Linked DNA regions of Nothobranchius furzeri. The main gene of each other region encodes a partner of the protein of the gene in region 2 in a complex. Links are inferred from orthologs where the notes say so. Each region holds a gene or a part of one and is shown on either strand. Other genes may lie near its edges. The genes, in order: tradd and ngfrb.

Evidence for each region.
Region 1: the proteins of ngfrb (region 2) and tradd are in contact, whole or in part, in an NMR structure (PDB 7CSQ), measured with the Homo sapiens proteins. The link is inferred for Nothobranchius furzeri from reciprocal best matches to the Homo sapiens genes NGFR and TRADD. Residues at the interface, in NP_002498.1 of Homo sapiens: Glu345, Glu346, Glu348, Lys349, Leu350, Asn352, Gly353, Ser354, Ala355, Glu379, Ala380, Cys381, Arg384, Glu420; in NP_001310481.1 of Homo sapiens: Thr201, Phe202, Asn211, Ala275, Glu276, Arg278, Arg279, Thr281, Gln283, Arg284, Glu287.

The regions. Positions count from the first base shown.
Region 1 is NC_091749.1:60,146,630-60,151,034, reverse strand, and holds the start of tradd (tumor necrosis factor receptor type 1-associated DEATH domain protein), read right to left. Parts: upstream 2,865-4,405; 5' UTR 2,777-2,864; intron 1-2,776. UniProt on the Homo sapiens protein: Adapter molecule for TNFRSF1A/TNFR1 that specifically associates with the cytoplasmic domain of activated TNFRSF1A/TNFR1 mediating its interaction with FADD.
Region 2 is NC_091756.1:35,452,640-35,456,928, forward strand, and holds the start of ngfrb (nerve growth factor receptor b), read right to left. Parts: upstream 3,100-4,289; 5' UTR 2,958-3,099; intron 2,905-2,957; exon of another isoform or gene 2,856-2,904; 5' UTR 2,796-2,855; coding exon 2,760-2,795; intron 1-2,759. UniProt on the Homo sapiens protein: Low affinity receptor which can bind to NGF, BDNF, NTF3, and NTF4. Forms a heterodimeric receptor with SORCS2 that binds the precursor forms of NGF, BDNF and NTF3 with high affinity, and has much lower affinity for mature NGF and BDNF.

The DNA.
Region 1 (4,405 bases), on a different chromosome or scaffold from region 2:
TAATTTTCAACAACTGGTCATCATTTAATTCATTTTCAACAACATTTTGATGGATTTTTCCAGAGATTCAAAGTAAAACCTACACATTGTCTTTAAAGAAAAAAATTCAGTGTTTACCAAACCTGAATTTTATACTGGCAGCACCATCATCTAAAAATAAATAAATATATATAACGTTTTTTTAATGCTCGACAAATTATCTTAAAGCATCTTAAAATGATGATTTTTTAAAATATATGTTCTCAGACAAAATGTCAAATATGTCATCTATTATGCACCTTTTAACATAATAAAAGAATTAAGTTTCATAGACTGTAACAACACAACCTTATTGTAATCTTAAAATCAAGCACTGTGTGAAAAAAACAGCCTAAATGTGGTGAATCACACTGAGCAGAGGCATAAAAGCAAACATGAAGGGCACAGTAGAGCAGTGGGGTGTAGTTTTGTCTCAGCTGCAAGGGGAGAGGTGGAGCAGATTGGTCCTGGGAATAGAGCCAGGTGAGGTTAATGAGTGTATCAGCAGGGTATTGCCTAATCAAGCCCTTTCTCTGTCTTTATATGCAGAAGTGAAGCGAAACCCTGGAGAGTGCTTGGACGCCTGCTCGAGCGCACGCTGCTGTATTTGTGTTGGGGTGGATGGGTGTGGATGTGCATTTCCACCAGCCAGCCAGGTACTACTCAGCGTGCACGATGTTTTGTGCATGAAGTAAGCTACCTCGGGCAGTTTCTGTTCTGAGGGGAACCCAGGGTAGCAACAACTTCTTCACACAAACACACCAACCTAGAATCATTGTTATGGTAATTAATGAAGGGCCTTCTCACAGCAGTCATTTTGTCATGAAACACTTGGAAAAAGGTGTTATTAATCCTGCTGATTGCCACTCTGTTCCTAAATAGAACACAATCTTTGATATAATTACTAACTCATGTTCACAATACTAGCTTACTGCCTATGTGTATATACAGTACATGTACCTTTATTATGAATTTTCTTCAGATGTATTCTCTTGTCTCTGTGCTGCTGTCAAAAGTGAATTTCCCCACTGTGGGATCAATAAAATCTATTTTATTCCATTCTATTGTATTTTCCTACTATTTATGTGGGAAATTGTTTAAAAAAAGACAATCATTTTACAAATTAATTCATGTTATTTCTGTTACCAAATAACCTTTAAATATATTCTTTAATCAGAAAATGAGGCTGAAAACCAATAATCTGGACAACTATTGGATGTCATCAAAATTCATATGCAGGTTTTAAAAATGACTAAGTAGTAATGTGTGCAAGTTGTACTAAATGTTTATTATTATGAAAATGTAAAAGAGCTAAAATCAGGAAACAAACATAAATATAAGAGACCAAAACATCATCAAACCTCATCAAAATATTGCTCATTTGATTTTAGCCAAAAGGGGCATGCATCAATATAAATCTATTTCTAAAACATAATCAGCGAGCATGTTGCGTATCATCCGATCAGGAACACAGGTGCTCTGACAGCCCATGGGATATAGGCATAGAAAAAAGGAAGAATGGCTGGAGCAGACTGGTCCTGAAAAGTCTTTAATAGCTGCAAAAAAACAGAACTGACAAGACATTTCTAACGTTTCGACAAGAAGACATTTCTCGACAAAACTTTAGTTCTGTTTGTTTGCACCTAAAGAATTTTCAGGACCAGTCTGCTCCAGGCATTCTTCCTTTTTTATATTTCTAATTACTAAGACTATGAAACTCACAATTTTTGTCTTTAAACAACTCAAAGATCCTTATTTGTCAAAGAAAATAATTGCAATGGAAGAGATCACTCCCCCCAGAAAAGAAATACTCCATAACAGGATAAAACTAGAATAGTTGTTTATTTACATTCCCTTTAATGCAATAATGTTCAATTTGGTCCTGAAAGGGCCACCTTCCTACATATTTTAAGAGGTTTATCTTGCTTCAGCACACCAGATTTTAATCAGCAGACAATTAACAGGTTTCTGCAAGCCAAATGCAAACATTGAATTAAATGTGTTGGAGCAGGGAAACAACTTGAACATGCCGGATATGAGATTGAGGACCAGGATCTGGGGGAACACTAGCCTTGTGAACTAGACCAAATTCTTGCTTTGCAAAGAAAGCTTGCCAGGCTAGGGGAACACTATACTTTAAAGGCTAATTATAGCATTATAGAAATCAGATTATTTTAGTATTATCTGTCATACTTTGATATTTATTTTTCAGCATGTTATTAGAATGAAAATTGATGGATTTACATCTAAAACTTTAACTGCATTGTAATATCATTTCTTAGAGTTTTAATTTAGTCTCTTTAGGATGCAGAACCTGTTTATGTTGTGTAAAAATTATTATTGTAATGTTTTAAGACTCTTAAGGTATTGTGATCTGTTTACATGAACTATCGGTGTTTCAAGTATAAAACAGTAACCATTAGTGTCCTCCAACAAAGCATGCGCAAAGCTACATATGATTTCAGTTTCAGTAGAAGTCACCTGCCACCAGAGGTAACTTTTCCAAGCAGTGATCAAACCTTCTTGTTGTTTTTAATCGCCCCATGGAACACAAAAGTGTCTTAAGTGTGTGAAACTTTTACTTAGTGTCGTTTGGGGAGAGATGCACAGCTCGTGCTCGAAAAACGTCACAGCTCAAAAAACTTCCCGCTGTTAATTATTTTCCTGCGTAAAGGCGGGCGAGCGCACACATGAAGCTTTTAAATAACCGGACTTCTGCTTTGCTGTGAGGTCAAACTTACAGTTGGGACAAACTTACCTTAAAACGGTTTAGTTTGTTCGGTTAGGCTTCCTCCTTAGAAATCACACCCACTGACAGGGACTTCCTGGCTTCCCGTTGGCTGAGTGAAATCAACCTACGTTCTGATTGGTGGAAATTGTTGCGCTAACTGATGACAAACAGGAAGTGTAAATTTGGCATTGCAGTACATTTATCTTTTGTAGAAAACATTTCCTAGAAACAAGAGGGAAGAGTTTCCGGTATTATAAAATCGAATTATGTATTCAGGTTGAAATAATCGGAGTTGGAAACACCACACCGTCTGTTTATTTTTGTCCTCTTTCTCACTATGTGGAAAATGTGAGCTGATTAAAAATTAGTTTCCATTTTCTGGTCTTATGCAGCTCTGACAGAAATAAATTACATATAACCTGTTAAAATAATAATTTATTATGTAAAAATTAGGAAACTATGTAATTTTGGGTGAATACCGAGGAAGTTAAAACAATTTCTGGGTTTTGATACTTAAACTAGATCATGGTGAAATGAATTAGCTTTAGGATTTGTCTGCTTTGACATAGTTGATCATGTTATTGTTGATGGATTTAAAAAAACGTGGGTTGTGATTTCTGGTTTATCTGGCGTCCTCTGACAGGAGGATTGAGCTATCAATAGAAAGCTTTAAACATCAACTTAATAATCGTTTTCAACATACTTTTGTATTTGACATTTCACATTTAGCTCAAATTTTTACAATATGTTAATGCTTTTTCATTACGACGATATTTTATATAGCGCCTCTCAAGATAAAAATCACACAGAGCTTCATAAAAACAAAAAATAAATTAAAGTATAAAAAGATTTTAAAAATGATTAGAAGTGTGTTTAAAAGGAGAAAAGGAAAAAATGTAAGGAAAGGGGGAGAGAAAATGAATATGAAAGAGGGAAATCATTTCCATATCAATAGCGATTTACTGATTTTCACATTTTAAAAACCAGACTTTTTTTTACTAAGCCAGAATTTGAACATTAGGAGTCATTTATTTGTTTAACGGTTAATGGGTTTAATGCCATTTTTATTGGTGGAGAGTTTTAAATATTTGGGGACTCAGATAGATGCTCATCTGTCCTTTCAACAACACTCAGATTCCATTTACAATAAGGCACTCCAGCGCCTCCATCTCATCAGGAAATTAAGGGATTTTAATGTCAGGAAAAACATCGTAACTGTCTTAACGGTCAATCATAGAATCCATTTTAACGTTTAACATTACATCCTGGTACAACTTTCTCACTTGTAAGCACAAAAATAAACTGCAACGGATCAAGCAGGCAAAATAATTGGTTCACTACAAACTCCCCCTTTCCCTTCTGCACGAGCGCTCTGTGATCAGGAAAGCCACACTGATCACAGAGGAACCTTCTCATCCCCTCCACCATTCCTTCAGTCTTCTCCCATCAGGCAGGAGATACAGAATCGCACTGTCCAAAAAAGCAATCCATAAGAAATCATTCATCCCATCAGCAATCACAGCCCTCAACAGACACAGAACTTCAATAACCCGCAAATTATTTTGTATTTTTAGGCGTCTAGTTGCATCTTTGGTTTTATGGCTTTTGAGCTTATATCTGTGCTTTTAGTTTTTTTATGATTTTATTGTATTTACT
Region 2 (4,289 bases):
AGCGAGCACGCTGCGCAAACGCCGGCGCGCCGTCAGACTGAAGACAGAAATTAGCGCTGCCTCCTCTGTGATAAAAAACTTTTAAGAGGTTTTATAACATTTTTCATTCAAGGTCAAATTAAGATATTAGCTTCTATTTTGGGATGACGTATTAAAGTCGGGTCCGCTCCAGCCAGTGACTCCGAACCTGACTACATCTCATGTTACTGCAGCATTTGTTATTCCGGTCCGCATGGCAGCGGATCGCAGATTCAGCCACACCATAAAACAGCAATAAGTCGGTCTGAGGCAAAATATCTTTTCCATCTTTTCCCCTATAGACATTTGATCACGCACAAGTAGGTGATCAGCTCAGGTTTACGCAGAGCAGAAGGAAGGAGAGAGCTCTGGCCACACAGGTTAAACGTTCCTACTTTAAGAAAACCGTTAAATTGCATTGTTTATGTGCTACCTGGGCACTCTAAATATTTATTTAAAATTAAATCAAAGGAAATTGTAATGGTATCAAATGCTTATTAATTACTATTTAAAAAATGAAAGTGATGGGAAAAAGGTCGATCATATTCTTTAACCCTGTCTGTTTAGCTTGACGTCTGATATACACACACATATATATATATATATATATATATATATATATATATATATATATATATATATATTTATATATCCATGCCCTGCTGTGGGGGCTGGGGTGTGCGTCGACATGGTCGGGACATAGAAGGGGGTGCACGGCTAAATAAGTTTGGGAACCACTGGCCTAATGAATAGTGTGGTGTTAAATTGTTGGTAGTGTAATGATTAATAAAAGTATGTTTTTATTGGCCGCTGTGAATCTTAGAAGGCTGGAGCTGTTTTAAGATGCCAACAGTCTGTTTTGGAGTTGCCTATAAAGTTCAAGCCATTTTTATCTTGTCAAAAGGGTCCAATTGTACCCAGTTTCAACACGTGTTGTCATCTCAAAGTATCACAGAGCAGTGTCCTGCTCCTCGGCCCTACTGGTTGAAAGTAAAATTATAACTGTCATGAACATACCTGCTGCAACCTGCTGTAGCTGGCGCTAAACACGAGCTAATACTAACATGAGCCAACTAATACTAAAATAAACCACAAAGTGAAAAGAGCCACACTGTTTGATATAAAATATTATTACACACAAGTCCAGTAGCAACAAAGCCAGGTCAATATCAGTCCGTGATTCAGTAGCCTCCTTTAGCTTCCTCAAACTAGTGTAGGCCATGCCGATGTTCGCTCTGGTTTTAGCTTTTTGCTTCATCTCCAGACATTACTCTCTTACTTTTACTTCCAGGCTCCGCCATGATGCTACCAGAAAAGGCAAACTTCTTCTTTTTCTTCTTCTTGTGCTTTTTATTGACGATCAGCAAACTGAAAATGCTAACCACTAGCATTACAGATAACAGCCATGAAGAACGCCCCCTAGAACACCTACCAGCTCCACAAAACCATCTAGTGCAGCTTTTGGTCAACAGAGGGCTGCAGACTGATGTCAAATATGAAACTGGTCAAGTTTGTAACCCAGCAATCACTGAGATCAATGTTTAAGCTCTAGCTTAAAGTTTAAAAATATATATACATTTTTTTAATTGCTTCAAATTCTTATAGCAGTTTGTGCAACGGTTATGTTGGTAATATTTACACTGATAACTAACGATACGCCAGACACTTACCATATAATGTCATGTGTCTGATCCTGAAAACTGATGACGGCATAAAAGTCTCCAAACAACTCTCCAATTATAGAGATGTCAAGATGGCATCAAACTAACACACATTTGTCTTGGCTGATCAGACCAGCTGCTAGCTCACCAGGCCTAAAGGAACTAAACACTATGTTTCTGACCGGAGGATATTCAGGGAACTAAACAGGTGGTGACTATTTATAACTTTTAGTCACAAAAGCTGGAAAATTGGTGTACAAAAATATATCTTTAGGATGTGAGGAAAAGAGCAAGGGTGGATGAGGATGAAGAGGAGTGGGGAAGGGTTCAGGATCTATCAATATTGCATGTGCTGAGCCAGCAGAGGATGCATAACCATCAGGGGAAGCAGCTGTCATTTACTGGTGATGCAGCTCCTAAACCAGACTGTGACTGAGCTGTCTCGCGCTGAGAAGTTTGGTCTGGACGTCGAACAAGGAAACAATCAGCAAACTATAAACTCTGAAGAGATTCCTGCTCTTTCTGCTGCCGTGCCATGACACTGCTCCTGCCTCACTCGTTGTTTCCTTCTGGGTGCGCGTGTTTAATATTCTGCTCCTGCTGCGGCTCGTGCGTCCGTGCGGTTTGTTTTCCTTCTGTAATGTCATGTGGATCTGAACAAAGTGCAGAGCTCCTTGAGCGATGCTGAGTTTTTACTAACTAATTCATAATGAGACATTTATTAGGTTTGTTTTTGTGGACGTGAGCGCACGTCGTTGTCCTGCTCTCTGCAGGCAAAAACGTAACTGAGCCGGCTGGACTGTAGCTCCAGCAACGATAACGTGGTCAACATGAATGGTTGCTGCAAGGGGACAGGTGCACGTGCCAAGAAAGTCTTAAATGTCTCTAAAAATCCATCAAAACATCCAAATGTATAGATTTCAGCATGCTTGCTGTGATTTATTAAAACATTTCCTGATCAAATTTCAAAGGGGCATGTGGAAGGAGTTAAAAACTGAAAGGATGAAACGTTTCGCACAAACTTATTCCGCGTATTCAAATCCAAAATGTTTCTTTAAAGAAAGTTGAAAGCAGACTCACCAATCCGAGCATCAGAAAGAATAAAACTGCTTTCATCCTGTTTCTTTGTATATTTCCAGATGGGGATCGGATGCAGAAGGATGCGGATCTCAGCAACTTCGAAGGGAAAAGATCACGGCTGTCATCTCTACGACTTTTAGTTTAGCTGAAGAAACAAAGTTGGAAAATACTTTTTATTAGATAAATAAAATCGCTCACTCAAGAGTCTGGTAGCCCGTGTTTCAACGCACAGAATGCGGTCAGTCGGTGGGAACAAACGACGCAAATGAGTGACCCATTTGGGTTTCTCTGTGCGCACTTCATGCACCTCTCACGCAGCAGAAGCTCTCAGCTCTGCGGCTTCAGGAGATCCAAAACACGCCCACTTTCAAGCGCGCGTGCGTACACACACACACACACACACACACACACACACACACACACACACACACACACACACACACACACAACAGCTCGTTTATTAACTTTTTTTGAGAATTTAGACCCGACAGATAGCAGAGCAGGGCCATTGAAAGGCACAGGGGGCTTAGCCTCTAGGATTGAAAGAAGGAATTAATGCATCAAAGGCTAAAAACATTACCAAACCCAACAACCTCCTGTATGGTAATATTTTATTGGGCAGTAAGTAGCTCGGGAGGTAAAGTGAGTTGTCCAGTAATCGGAAGGTTGCAGGTTTGATCCCAGCTCAGATGAGAGAATGCTGCTGTTGTGTTCTTTGGCAAGACACTTAACCCACCTTTCCTGCTGGTGGTGGTCAGAGGGACTGGTGGCAGCAACATTTGGAAAGACTTTCCTCTGTCAGTACACCTCAGGGCAGCTGTGGCTACATTGTGTAGCTCATCATCAGTGTGTGTGTGTGTGTGTGTGTGTGTGTGTGTGTGTGTGTGTGTGTGTGTGTGTGTGTGTGTGTGTGTGTGTGTGTGTGTGTGTGTGTGTGTGTGCGTGTGCGTGTGTGTGTGTGTGTGTGTGTCTGTGTGAGACAATTACTGATTGTGTTGTAAAGCGCCTTGGGGGGATGTAGAACCCTAAGAAGGCACTATACAATGGCAGTTTACCATTTTATGAAGGCTATGGGCCGTTGCTACAACAGCTGTCATCTGGCTGATTTTGTTTCACTGGCTTCTCTGGAAGATCCCCTGCCTTTGGTTTTGTCAGGTTTTAGGATGTCTGCCTTTACAGTCTAAACAAGCCCGCAATGTCTTTTAATAGCCAACATGTTAGGGTTGTGCTTATCAAAACATGCAAGCATATATATCAAGCCATGCATTTGGCTAATGGTACCTGGCCTGCATTTATACAGTGCCTTTTTAGGCACTGTAGGCCTTTGTAGGGTTTTACTGCACAGGAACTTGATCTAATTTCATTGAAAATCTTACTAAAGATCCCGAGGTTAATTTTATAGCATTTCAGAATGTTCTGAGGGAAGCTTTTGTTATTTAAATAAATTTATTATTATTTTACAAAGCATTGGCTAGCAGGCATGAATGTGCATTATTATGTATGACTGTTGTTAAACTATATTTTGTCTAT